Saccharomyces cerevisiae S288C: one gene and its partners. Changing the gene in region 3 together with the main gene of any one other region gives a genetic interaction. Each region holds a gene or a part of one and is shown on either strand. Other genes may lie near its edges.

Region 1 (3,046 bases), 890 kb from region 3:
ACTGATCTTGGATGCCAGAACATTCAGCAACGTAGTCTTCCCTGACCCCGAACCACCCATAACTGCCATGACCGACCCACTGGGCAGGTCCATGGAAAACGTATTAACTAGCGTCGTATTTGTTTTGGATGCAACGATTGACAAATCCCTTACATGAAGGCTTATTCTAGGGATTCTTGAGAAGGAAAGTCTATTTTCGATTAATTCAGTGGCCACATCACCATTCTCCTGCTGTGACATAGTGGCTGCAAGTGGATGTTTGGCGTTGGTGATTGTAGCTTAAAATACGATGATCGTTTGAAAACTGCCAAGCACTTGTGCCTACTTCTGCATTTACATCACAAATTCGTTTATCTCATCACTAGATCCTTCCTTTTTTTTTTTTCACTTTCTGATATTTCGTATAAGTGTCAACCCAACAATACTAAAGCCAGACATATGATAGAAGTAACTGCCTCACATGGCTGTAAACGATGTTGCTAAACCGTTGCTATGTTTATTTGTTTATGTAGGTATATGCTGATATAAATCATCTCCTAAAGGTATCCAAAAATTGGACTCCCAGTGGTCTTGCAGGTTCATCGGCACCAGGCTCGTCATCACCAGCGCTAGAGGTATTTGTAGGGGTGGTGCTTGAACCACGAAGCGGTAGGCTTGTAGGCCCAGAGTTGCCTGTATTTCCATTTCCTGTAGCAGCAGTAGCTGCTTCTACAGTGGCTCTTGCTGCTGCTGTATTCGTGGCCGCATTGGCCGCTATAGCAACGTTAGCCCTCGTGGGTGGGCCTTGAGAGATGAAATAGGATACAAACGGTATTCTCCAATGGTCTAATCCCGGTAACAGGCCCTTATCGATGAAAATACCACACATCCAGCTTATGAATCCGCATAGTATTCCTGCAAACCCCTGATTTAATATAAGCAGGAGAATTAACCCATTTAAAAGAAACTGATCGTTGATTTTCCACTCTACGGCGCTCTTGTCTTCTCGCTTGTTATCATTGTGACTTGATGCTCCTCCTCGAGGTCCTAGTAATCTTATATTCCATTCGTAAATCTGAGGGGTGTATTCTTTGTAAAAATGTACTAAGCTTAAAACAATGGGCAGTGAACCTGTACTAAAATTGTTCCATTGAAGCCACTTGTACTGTCCAATAAATGCGTTCCAGATCAGATTCAATCCCCAAATTCCTAAGGTGGTGTAGGCCCATGACAAAACAATCAAGGTCAAGTACTTGTGGGATCCTAGTAGCCGTTCTAAATGCCTAAACAGATACCATATCAACGCCAGTATTACTGTATCGGATTCATTGATGGCGCAGAACTGGAATATGAGCAGACGGTAGTATTGATGGTAGGTCTGCAGAAAAGGATCATATTGCAATAGAAATATATGTTTGTAACTTGCAATCGAGGCAACTAAGGGAACCACAAGCGTCGTGATCATGGCTAGCTTGGTGACGGGCATAGCCGTAAGCCCCACAGGAGGCTCCATAGACATTATTTGTAGACTATTGTGTTTGCTTTTTATGTCGTTGACTTTCTCTCCCTTTAATAGTTAAGTTTATACGTCAAATTTCTCTTCTATACTTTTCCAAAAAAAAAAAACCATCTTCACATCAATGGCATTCAAAGTAAGAAACAGGGCAGGGATAAAAGGATAGATAGCAATGGACATGGCCAACCAGTTGCTAGATGAATTAGCACATGGAAATTTTTCCCACCTAACGCTAAACTTGTCCCAAAATGGTAGGGAAATTGCTATCTTACAGAAGCAATTGACCGGATTTGATGATAAACAGCTAGAAACGTTTGTAGAACAACACCCGGCTATGCCCAATGATACGAGATTCAAAATCATGTGTACATCCTTTTTAAATTATGCCCGAGATGTCGACCCATGGTCAGCCTGGTCCAGTTCGGATCTAATTTTTGAGTTTTATCAATGTTTAATCAACTGTCTCATCAACGACAATGCTCCTCACATAGAAATGTTGATACCAGTAGCAACTAGAGAAACAGAATTTATCATCAATCTCGCTGGGAAACTAGACTCTTTCCACTTGCAACTGCATACGAGAAGTCACCAATTTCTATCACATATATCGTCCATCCTATCAAGACTATTTAACAGCATCAAACCTCCACGAGGTAACGCATCTTCTACAAATATACCTGGAAAACAACGAATACTGCTCTACCTGGTCAATAAACTAAATAACATCTACTTCAGGATCGAGTCACCGCAATTATGTTCCAATATCTTTAAGAACTTTCAGCCAAAAAGCATGCTTGCACATTTCAACGAATACCAGCTCGACCAGCAAATAGAATACAGATATCTATTAGGAAGGTACTACTTGTTGAACTCTCAAGTACATAATGCCTTCGTTCAATTCAATGAAGCTTTCCAGTCCTTATTGAACTTGCCGTTAACGAACCAAGCGATCACTAGGAATGGCACCAGAATACTAAATTACATGATCCCTACAGGGCTGATACTGGGAAAGATGGTCAAATGGGGACCGTTGCGACCGTTCCTTTCCCAAGAAACAATTGATAATTGGAGTGTTCTCTACAAACACGTACGTTATGGGAATATTCAAGGCGTGAGTCTCTGGCTGAGACAAAACGAGCGTCATTTGTGTGCAAGACAGTTACTGATCGTGCTCCTAGAGAAACTGCCCATGGTAACGTACAGAAATCTGATTAAAACGGTAATAAAGTCCTGGACCACCGAATGGGGTCAGAACAAATTACCGTACTCCTTGATAGAACGGGTACTACAGCTATCTATTGGTCCGACATTCGAGGATCCCGGCGCCCAGGAAATTACCATTTATAATGGCATTCACTCCCCCAAGAACGTCGAAAACGTACTTGTGACACTGATTAACTTGGGACTTTTACGCGCAAACTGTTTCCCACAGTTACAACTGTGTGTAGTGAAAAAGACTACAATGATACAAGAGATTGTTCCGCCGGTTAATGAACGAATCACCAAGATGTTTCCTGCCCATTCTCACGTTCTTTGGTGATATGTAGATAT
Region 2 (5,168 bases), on a different chromosome or scaffold from region 3:
TCATCTCCTGATTTCCAAAAGGAGTTGAACAACAGATTACTGAACGTTCAACAACAGCAGCAAGAGCAACATACCCTACTGCAATCACAAAATACGTCAAACCAAAGTCAAAATCAAAATCAAAATCAAATGATGGCTTCCAGTAGTTCGTTAAGTACAACCCCGTTATTATTGTCACCAAGGGTGAATATGATTAATACTGCTATATCCACCCAACAAACCCCCATTTCTCAGTCGGATTCACAAGTTCAAGAACTGGAAACATTACCACCCATAAGAAGTTTACCGTTGCCCTTCCCACACATGGACTGATACGCTGACAAGTTTTTGGCGGTGCAGATAAATCAAAAGACAATAGACAAGAATTAATAATATTAACAATTAATAATTAATAAATAATAAATAATAATAATAATAATAATAATAATAATAATAATAGTAATAATAATAATAATTAATAACGATAAAAATATTTAATTATGATAGTAAGAATACATATTTTGATTGTCTTAGTCTTCCGCAGAGATAATTAATTGTTCTCATTTTCAAAGTCATCTATATGTATTGATTGAGCTCTACTGTTGTTTTTAACTTTATTGTGGCCCCCTAAAATATAATTTTTACCAGTATTAACCATTTTGCTCTTATTAGTACTTTTACTGATGGTGGAACCCTTGAAATTTGTCATGGGCGATTCAATCCATAGATTGTTATTGCTGCTTCCACTAGTGTTCTTGTATGGAATTGGTGTCGTAGGTGCCGTAGTCATAGCATCGGTTGCTCTAGTTAAGGTGGTTGGTTGTCTCGTCATATTGGTATTGGTTGTGTTGAATGAATTGTCAAGAGAATAACTCTCATTCATGGAACCAGGTCCTTGTGTGCCGCTGTTATTGTTGCTACCATTACTTTCCTGAGAAATTAGGCTGCTTTTGTTGAACAAAAACCTGTTGGAAGAACATGGAGTAGAGTTTTGAGGCTGCTGCTGCTGCTTACTAACGTTAGTGTTAGTGTTTTTCGACGTGGACGGTATGAAAGATGTGGACGAGTAGACATCGTACTTCGATAACGTAGTAAAGTTTTCAATATTTTTCTGCGCAGCTGATTGTGATGATGTACAATTATCGCTTGTTGATGCTGAAGTTATTGTATTTGGTGGAGTGGATATCACAAATTGAACATCCTCAGGGAATAATTTCAGCAAGTCAGATGTTGTTAGTTTTATTGGCTTAATCTTTGGTTGCTCTTCATAGAAAAGCTCCTTATAAAATGCATTATAAACTTCAGAACCGTCATTCCACAATGTGATGTAATCTTTCAAAGCTTGGAAAGAAAGTTGATTTTTTAAACATAACTTTTTAATTAAATTATCATCATCACTTCCATCCCTAATTTGATGGAAGAACAAATGATTCAATAAGTTTATGGATATTTTTTGTAAAATCAAATCATCCAGAGAAACCTTTGTCGCGAATTTGATCAAATGATATAGTGCTAAATTTTTTTCCTTTATGACCAAATTTTCACACAATTTCAAAGAGCTAAAAAAAATTAGTTGAGAAAATAATTTCTTGACTGAGGAAGACCCGATGAGATTTATATTTTCCTCTTTCTCTTTATGTCCTTCATCTCGTTCTTGGCCTCGGTCTTTTAATTGTTGGGCCAATAATAATGAAGTAAATAATGGAACGAGATAAAGCTGCATGTATTGTTCTATTATCACATGATTGTCTTCATTACTGTGATCATCTGATGATTGAATTAGTGGGTTAATCTTCAGGTCATCATAATCCCTTAGAAGTTTAGAAATTAAAAGAATGGTTAAATTCAAACAGCGTAATACATCATTTACAATCATAATTGAATCCGACTCATGGTCTAGGTTCTTGTCAAAAGTGAAAAGCGATTTCGAAATAGGCGGAATTGGTGGCAAAATTGAGTCCTCAAACCAGTATGGAATTTGGTACCTCGTTTGATATGATTGCGTCCAGTCTATTTTTCTGTTATTATTACTAATACTGCTATTATTGCTATTATTATTGTTATTAGTGATGGTAGTAGTAGTAGTACTAGTGGTGTTAGTACTACCATTAATAACGCCATTGTTGTTAATGTTGTTATTATTGATGTTATTAGTAGTGATGCATTTCCTGTTGTATTGATTAATTAATTGCGAAATACTGCCCATGTTGATTAAGAATTTCGATAGAAGGAACTGAATGATATTTAAAGTGGATGCTAAACTTTGAGTAGAGCCCAATTCACCAAAGTTTGAATGTAAACAGTGAGTAGGAACCAGGATTAAATAATTTAATGCAATGTCGAGCAACAAAATTAATCGATTTTCCTGCAAATAATTCAACTCAGGATGGTCAATAACTTCCATTAAAACTTGTAAGTGAAAGGACAAATCAGTCGGATCAATTTTGTCGCTGGAGTTCTCACCACCACCATTGTCTGAAATCCCATTTTCCATTATTGTAGAAATTGCAGATCGATATAGTTTAGGATCAATTAAATTTGGGAAGTGAGAGATCCTTTTAGAGATCTTGTACACAAAATAATGAGATGGCAAAACTTCTAATGAGGACGTTGATGCTAATGAAGTGATGATAAAAAAATCCACCTGGTAATCCTTTGTTATCCAGCTAGAAATTTTCTCATCACCGTTGATTAAGTTCGTTGCCGAAGGATCGTATCTTTGCCATTGTGCTACCCATATCTTGAGTAAAGTGGATCTCAAACCGAGCTTTAGAAACTCAAATAGATTTGGCGTTATTTCTTCAAAATTTTGAACAATGGAAAGAAGCGACAGTACGCCGAAATTCATTGAGTCCCCGTCCGTGGTTGTCGCCGTTTCTTCGTCATTATCTGCCATAAAATCCTTCCATATGTTCAGATTGTGCAGGATCAAAGGATGGAGCTGTTTATGGATGGAAATGTATGCAAATAACACCGCTATAAGGTCCCATATGATATTGCTATTATTAGCAGCAGTAACGGCTGACTGCAAAAGGGGAGAAAAAACGTCTAACTCCCGCAGTTCCGACTCAAAATCTTTTACAGAAGAGCCTGAAATTGGCAGATACTTAAAAGAGTTTATGAGCTTGAAGGCTATTTCAACAGGATCATTAATGTGACTGTCGATCGAAGCTAATTTATGGTAGGCCTTTAAAATAGCTTGCAAAAGAGCGTCTACGGTGTCTTGGGAGACCCGCGAGGCTGCAGTCACCAGTGGTGCATGGCCAGCACACTTCTGCATTCTGGTGGTGAGGGTTCTGTACTGCTTATATTGTTGCTATTGGTTAATTATGCCTTTTGTTTTCCTCTTTCCCTACGATCCTCCTTATATGAAACAGAAAAAACTGCCGCCGAGATCCAAGCAGAAAAAAATATATTAAGTCAAGGATCAAGGTGGCACACAGGGTAATGAAATTTTTATATTATATATATAAATAAATATCCATATGTCATTGTTAACGTCTTCCGTTGCTAAAATCATACGTCGTTATATACGTTATCGCTTTATACGTGTTAGCTCGATATCATTTGGGACGTGCCGAAATCTCGCGGAATGTTTCCGAAAAAAAAGAAAGAAAAAAAAAAAGGGGCAGGCCCCACAAAGGGGCGCCGCGTGGTGTTACGTACTGGAAAAGTGAATTATGAAAAAAAAGTTCTTCAAGGGGCAGGGGTTTCCGTTTGGCCCACTATGTATGTGTCTCCAGATACGATTATGATGTGCTAATAGTTATTAATAAAACTATATATATATATATTACTCATATATATATTTTCATATACAATGTACTCTTAACTGGTACCTGGTTGGATGCAATAGGTGAGGAAACCTTCAAACAAAACTTTCTTTTACGATTATCTATATCTTTGTTAGAAAGAATAAAATACAGTACAAAAATGAAGACTTTAATTGTTGTTGATATGCAAAATGATTTTATTTCACCTTTAGGTTCCTTGACTGTTCCAAAAGGTGAGGAATTAATCAATCCTATCTCGGATTTGATGCAAGATGCTGATAGAGACTGGCACAGGATTGTGGTCACCAGAGATTGGCACCCTTCCAGACATATTTCGTTCGCAAAGAACCATAAAGATAAAGAACCCTATTCAACATACACCTACCACTCTCCAAGGCCAGGCGATGATTCCACGCAAGAGGGTATTTTGTGGCCCGTACACTGTGTGAAAAACACCTGGGGTAGTCAATTGGTTGACCAAATAATGGACCAAGTGGTCACTAAGCATATTAAGATTGTCGACAAGGGTTTCTTGACTGACCGTGAATACTACTCCGCCTTCCACGACATCTGGAACTTCCATAAGACCGACATGAACAAGTACTTAGAAAAGCATCATACAGACGAGGTTTACATTGTCGGTGTAGCTTTGGAGTATTGTGTCAAAGCCACCGCCATTTCCGCTGCAGAACTAGGTTATAAGACCACTGTCCTGCTGGATTACACAAGACCCATCAGCGATGATCCCGAAGTCATCAATAAGGTTAAGGAAGAGTTGAAGGCCCACAACATCAATGTCGTGGATAAATAAGAGCTGAATAATACTTCTTCAACCTGATGAACTAGGGTGGCTTGCAAATGCACAAATCTATATAACAATATCTATATATATGTATGTACACCGAATTCCGACATATGGAGAAGGAATAATAAAATATTAACTAACGTCTTTACGCCTCTCTTTATTCTTTTTTGGGTAAATTGCTTAAACTATTTGGCCGGCCCACCGCGAAAAGATTTGGCTGGGCCTCAACTAAACGCGCCTTTTTGGACTTTTCACGTTGCAGGGACAGCAACGTCAAAACTTCTGCATTAAGGTAGTTTGGTAGCTTGGTAGCCACTTTAGTATTTCTGCCTTCTTCGAATACCGACATTATTTCTCGCCAATCCACATTCTCTCTCCCCATCTGCATCCTTTTATATTTAATAGGGATAGGTTGTTTTAGTTCTTTGATTCCGTTTTCATTTCAAGAGCAATAATAGCAATTTGGAAAAAGAAAGCAAGTAAAAGAAAGAAGAGATCATGTCTAGGAAGTTGTCCCACCTGATCGCTACAAGGAAATCAAAAACAATAGTCGTAACCGTACTTCTTATTTATTCTTTGTTGACATTTCACTTGTCAAACAAAAGGCTGCT
Region 3 (5,292 bases):
GTATGCACTAGCTTTTCCATTAATTATTTTGTTTGTGGTGCTGTGTGCGTATTATGAGAACTATTCGAGGGGCAAGTGGACACTACCATGTCTATTTGGAATTTTCGCTGGTTTCCTAAGATATTGGTTGGCAGAAATGTTTAATAAAACAAACAAAAAGTTTCCATTGGGTACTTTCTTGGCAAACGTTTTCGCCACTTTATTGATTGGCATATTTACCATGGTGCAACGTGGTAAAAAACACTTTTCTACGGACGTTCCAATTGTGAACTCGTTGAATTCATGTCATATTGTTTCTGCGTTAATATCCGGATTTTGCGGCACTTTGAGTACCATTAGCACGTTTATCAATGAAGGGTATAAGCTATCATTTATTAACATGCTTATTTATTATACTGTTTCGATTGCAATTTCATATTGCTTATTGGTGATAACTCTCGGATCCTATGCTTGGACTAGAGGATTGACCAACCCGATTTGTTAGGATCTTTTCTTTATACTTTTCCCTGCATAATCATCCCACTTTTTTTTTTTTTTTTTTTAATTCATTTTCAAGATTTTAGACGTTGTATAATACATTTTTACCCACTACTGCGGTTTATTGTAATATTTTGTGAGATTTTATGAATGCGTTCCATCATCTATTTACTACAAAACGATAAATTTCCCCGTTTTCTTTTACTTTTACTTCATTTAATATAATTCATATTTATTTCCCATGTACCAATTAATTACTCATAAAAAGAACAGAAATAGAAAAAAGTTGTATATAACAAGCCAAAAAAAAGAAAAAAAAAGGAAAAAAAAGAAAACACAGCTTATTTCAAATTGCAATCTGCGTATTTCGTAAGTAACGAATGATCTCACAGCATTGCTTTTTTTTTTTTTTATATATATATGTACATTACCTATGTCACATATGACCATGATGAATACAACACTAAAAACCAAGGCCTACTATTCAATTGTTCTCTATATGATTTCCATTCTAGCAAAATCGAGTGCTACCGACCTGCCGTTTTCTTTACCTTTCGAACCATTGAGCTGTTAGCCTTCTCTTCACAGAAACTGAAAGTCATTAAAAGCCTCCCCTTCAACAATTCCCTTGTCTTTTGTTTCAGCTATATAATGCGTTTATAGCTCTAATTGTGGTCGAATAGGAAGAATTTGCGTTAACACCCGTAACTAGCTTTCCATCTGTAATAGAGTAGTCATCCCAGGGATGGATTGGCGCCAAGTACTTGGCTCCATTCTTGTTTGCAACGCGTTCAACCGTTGTCAATTTTCTGCTCCTCAAGATGTCGTCAACTCCCAGGGCGATTTCACCCTCGAGTGGGAAACCTGTTATAGCTTTGCCTTCGATTAATGGTCTTGTTGTTTTGATATCTATTAATCCATCGAAAAGGAGCGGTCCATGACAGATGGCAGCGATCACACCCCCATTGGCATATATCTTGGATGCAATATCTTGCAGATTTTTAGCTTTGGGATAGTCAAATAGAGCACCATGTCCAGCAGATGCAAAGAATACTTTATAGTCGCTGGCGTTGACTTCATTTGCGGTCTTGATCCTCGCTAACGCCTTATTGAAGGCGGAATTTTTCGTTTCAAAGTTCATCTTATCTTCGCCACCAATAAAGCTCTTTGGCAAGTAATGTTCATCCCAGCCAAATCCACCAGTCTCAGAAACGAAGTCCACTTCGAAACCATGCTTTTCGAATGTATCGAACGATCGCAAAATCTCAACTACAAAAACGCCTGTTTTCGCACCATCTTTGTAGAAGGGACCGTGGTATGAAGTAAGAGATATTAGCGCTCTTTTTGGAGTCATTGCAAGGCCAGTTTTCTTTTTGAATGAAGGAGAAAAGTGTTCTAGAAATATGTTTTAGTTCTAAGTATCGTTGTCTGGAGCAAGCAAAGAAAAGCAGACCTGTATGTGCAACTTTCCTGTTTTCCATTAAAATCTCAAGAACCGACCCCTTGACTGTGCTCATATATCAAGTATCGGTTTTAAAGTCCCCTAATTGTGATAATTGCAAGAACGACAGTCAGAAAGATATTTTTTTTTTTCTTTCTCTTTACCTATCCTCCATAAAAATACCTATGCTGATACTGAATATCTTCATTTGCAGCTATGCAATATTTCAGATACCCCATTTTACCCAAGAGTTTCTTACTGGTGGTTGGATTTTCTTTAAGACGAGAAGATTACCAGTCCTGGATGTTCGTGAATGTGCCTATTGCGTCATCAGCGACTCCGCGCCAAGAAAAGAAATACTCGCATGCTCGGATTTATAGAATCGCATAATGGAAATACCTTCCTTAAAGGATGGAGATAAGGAAAAAATGACAAGAACAAGGAAGTACTTGGGAGCTTTCTCCGACATGGTAAATATTTGAAACTCACGCAGCTCTCCTGGAAAGTTGGATCTGGAAAGGTAAGGTTGTTTTTTTTACAGACATCAACCAAAATCGGTTCTTGTAGTAGACAATGTCACAGATCGCCACAAGTTGAAAAAAAAGTTTCGATGAACTGGATAAGGGGAGAGGTCACAAACAAAGTGTAGGGGGTGAGTAGTATAGTGGTAACTTGTTCATTTACCTAAATAACATTCTCACTAGAAAAGAGATATTGAAAGACTCCTCGTTTACCTAACTTGGCTGGTTCTTAGGTATATAATAGAAACATGGATCTGGCAGGTTATCACTTACAGTTTGCACTCCCACCAGGTTACAATTTTCATTATATATAGTTATTTTTTACCACCACTTCTTCTTCTTTCACTTTGTCTTGCAATAGAAATACCAAAACAAGGTGAGGAAAAAATCGAATCTCAACGATAAAAATATGTCCATCACGAAGGTACATGCTAGAACGGTGTATGATTCTCGCGGCAATCCGACTGTTGAGGTTGAAATTACAACAGAGAATGGTCTCTTCAGAGCGATCGTCCCATCTGGTGCCTCCACCGGCATTCACGAAGCTGTTGAACTTAGAGACGGGAACAAGTCCGAATGGATGGGAAAAGGGGTGACCAAGGCAGTCAGTAACGTCAATAGTATCATAGGGCCTGCTTTAATCAAGTCCGAATTATGTGTAACCAATCAGAAGGGCATAGACGAGCTCATGATATCGTTAGACGGAACTTCTAACAAGTCAAGGTTGGGCGCCAATGCTATCCTTGGTGTTTCCTTGTGCGTTGCTCGAGCTGCTGCCGCACAAAAGGGAATTACTCTCTACAAGTATATAGCCGAGTTAGCGGATGCTAGACAGGACCCCTTTGTTATTCCTGTTCCTTTTTTCAATGTTTTGAATGGTGGAGCCCACGCCGGTGGCTCTTTAGCTATGCAAGAATTCAAGATCGCGCCAGTCGGGGCTCAGAGCTTTGCAGAAGCCATGAGGATGGGTTCGGAAGTTTACCATCATTTGAAGATATTGGCGAAGGAGCAATATGGACCTTCCGCTGGAAATGTTGGTGACGAGGGTGGAGTTGCCCCCGATATTGACACTGCCGAAGACGCCTTGGACATGATTGTGGAAGCCATTAACATATGCGGTTACGAGGGTAGAGTGAAAGTAGGAATCGATAGTGCTCCTTCTGTTTTTTATAAGGACGGGAAATACGACCTAAATTTCAAGGAACCGAACTCTGACCCATCTCACTGGCTCAGTCCAGCCCAGTTAGCAGAATATTACCATTCATTGCTAAAGAAATACCCAATCATTTCCCTGGAAGATCCCTACGCCGAAGATGATTGGTCCTCGTGGTCTGCCTTCCTAAAGACTGTCAATGTTCAGATTATTGCAGATGACCTGACATGCACCAACAAGACCAGGATCGCCCGTGCTATAGAGGAGAAATGTGCGAATACTCTGTTGCTGAAACTCAACCAGATCGGTACTCTGACTGAGTCTATTGAAGCCGCCAATCAGGCTTTCGATGCTGGATGGGGTGTAATGATATCGCATAGATCAGGTGAAACCGAAGATCCGTTTATCGCTGATTTGGTCGTTGGTTTAAGATGTGGTCAAATTAAATCGGGCGCTTTGTCGAGATCAGAAAGACTGGCCAAGTATAATGAACTTTTGCGTATCGAAGAGGAACTGGGGGACGATTGTATATATGCTGGTCATAGGTTTCATGATGGAAACAAACTATAAAGGATTGTCTTGTTTCCTTTTTTTTTTTTTTTTTTTTGTTTTTTTATGACTAAATAAAGTAAATCATATGAGGTTTTATTTTTTATTTCGTTGATTTGGGTTACAGTATGGAAATGGGGCATTTGACACAAGTTATTTTATTCATATGTTTTATCTTGTAGGAAATCAAACCGTTTTTAAAGTTTTCCATTGCCTACACACAAAATCATTACGAATCTGTCTGAACAAGGGTGGACGTGTGGGGGAAGGCTGTTCCAATCAAGAAATGCTTACAACTCTACTAACACTGCAGTTTTTCAGCTTTCTGATTAATCTCTTCGGTTTAAATTTTTTAGCAGCTATTACTTTCTAGTAACCCTTATAACGCGGTTGGTATCAAATCTTCCTGATAGTACAAGCAGACCTTTGACCCCATTCTTGTTGTGTCTTGAAATCTTTTTTTCTGACAAAAGTAAGAAGTTACACCATAATAGAGAAGTTAAATAATGAAAGTGTATCGATCATAGAAATGATTTTATTTTTTTCAACTACTGTTACGGTCAAGAAACTAATACTGAGGATAAGTTTTCGCAACAATGATTTTGGTACAAGTGATTTAAAGTCTTGAATTACTTCAACACAATTTGCTTTGCGACGGTTTAGAATAACGTAATCGTATCAACGAATCCACTAGGCGCGCGTAAAAATTACAGACTCTAACAATATACGACTCCCAGCACATACCTACTATTCTGTACAATTCCGGGAAATAGGAGGGTACAGTATTATTTTTTCTCGGCGATCGTTTAGGGTATACTGGAGATAGGCTTAGCAATACGCTTCTGAACGAGGATCTATAGCAACTAAATTCAGACATTCTGCTATACCAAAAAAGGAAGTATCACAGGCACGGAAAAGGGTTTTATAAGGCACCTCGGCACCCCTATAACTGGCATTCTCACATTCGGCGCATACGAATAGACAAAGGCCCCAGAAAACAATACCTTCGCATACAGAATCTATAAAGATGCATGCCTCGTTTAAAAACAAAAACATCTTCATAGTGATCATGAAGTTGTGGGAAAGATGAGATATGGAGAATATGTGAAGTGCTAAAGGAGCATCTGTTAACGAATCGTTTAAGTGGTGAT

The links. Genes that interact genetically often act in the same process or in processes that back each other up.
Region 1: mutations in ERR1 (region 3) and DSC2 together harm fitness less than expected from each alone (positive genetic interaction), as found in Saccharomyces cerevisiae (2 studies listed by BioGRID).
Region 2: mutations in ERR1 (region 3) and VIR1 together harm fitness more than expected from each alone (negative genetic interaction), as found in Saccharomyces cerevisiae (2 studies listed by BioGRID).

Annotation. Positions count from the first base shown.
Region 1 is NC_001147.6:193,303-196,348, forward strand, and holds DSC2 (Dsc2p), read right to left. Parts: upstream 1,499-3,046; coding exon 530-1,498; downstream 1-529. Other genes in the region: YOL075C (uncharacterized protein), read right to left, coding at 1-240; THP1 (Thp1p), read left to right, coding at 1,668-3,035.
Region 2 is NC_001139.9:426,692-431,859, reverse strand, and holds VIR1 (Vir1p), read right to left. Parts: upstream 3,260-5,168; coding exon 530-3,259; downstream 1-529. Other genes in the region: transcription factor MIG1, read left to right, coding at 1-312; PNC1 (nicotinamidase), read left to right, coding at 3,913-4,563; OCH1 (initiation-specific alpha-1,6-mannosyltransferase), read left to right, coding at 5,056-5,168. UniProt on the Saccharomyces cerevisiae protein: Component of the MIS complex, a complex that mediates N6-methyladenosine (m6A) methylation of meiotic mRNAs and is required for initiation of meiosis, progression through the meiotic divisions and sporulation.
Region 3 is NC_001147.6:1,077,428-1,082,719, forward strand, and holds ERR1 (phosphopyruvate hydratase ERR1), read left to right. Parts: upstream 1-2,848; coding exon 2,849-4,162; downstream 4,163-5,292. Other genes in the region: FEX1 (fluoride transporter), read left to right, coding at 1-484; HSP33 (glutathione-independent methylglyoxalase family protein), read right to left, coding at 1,118-1,831; seripauperin PAU21, read left to right, coding at 5,291-5,292.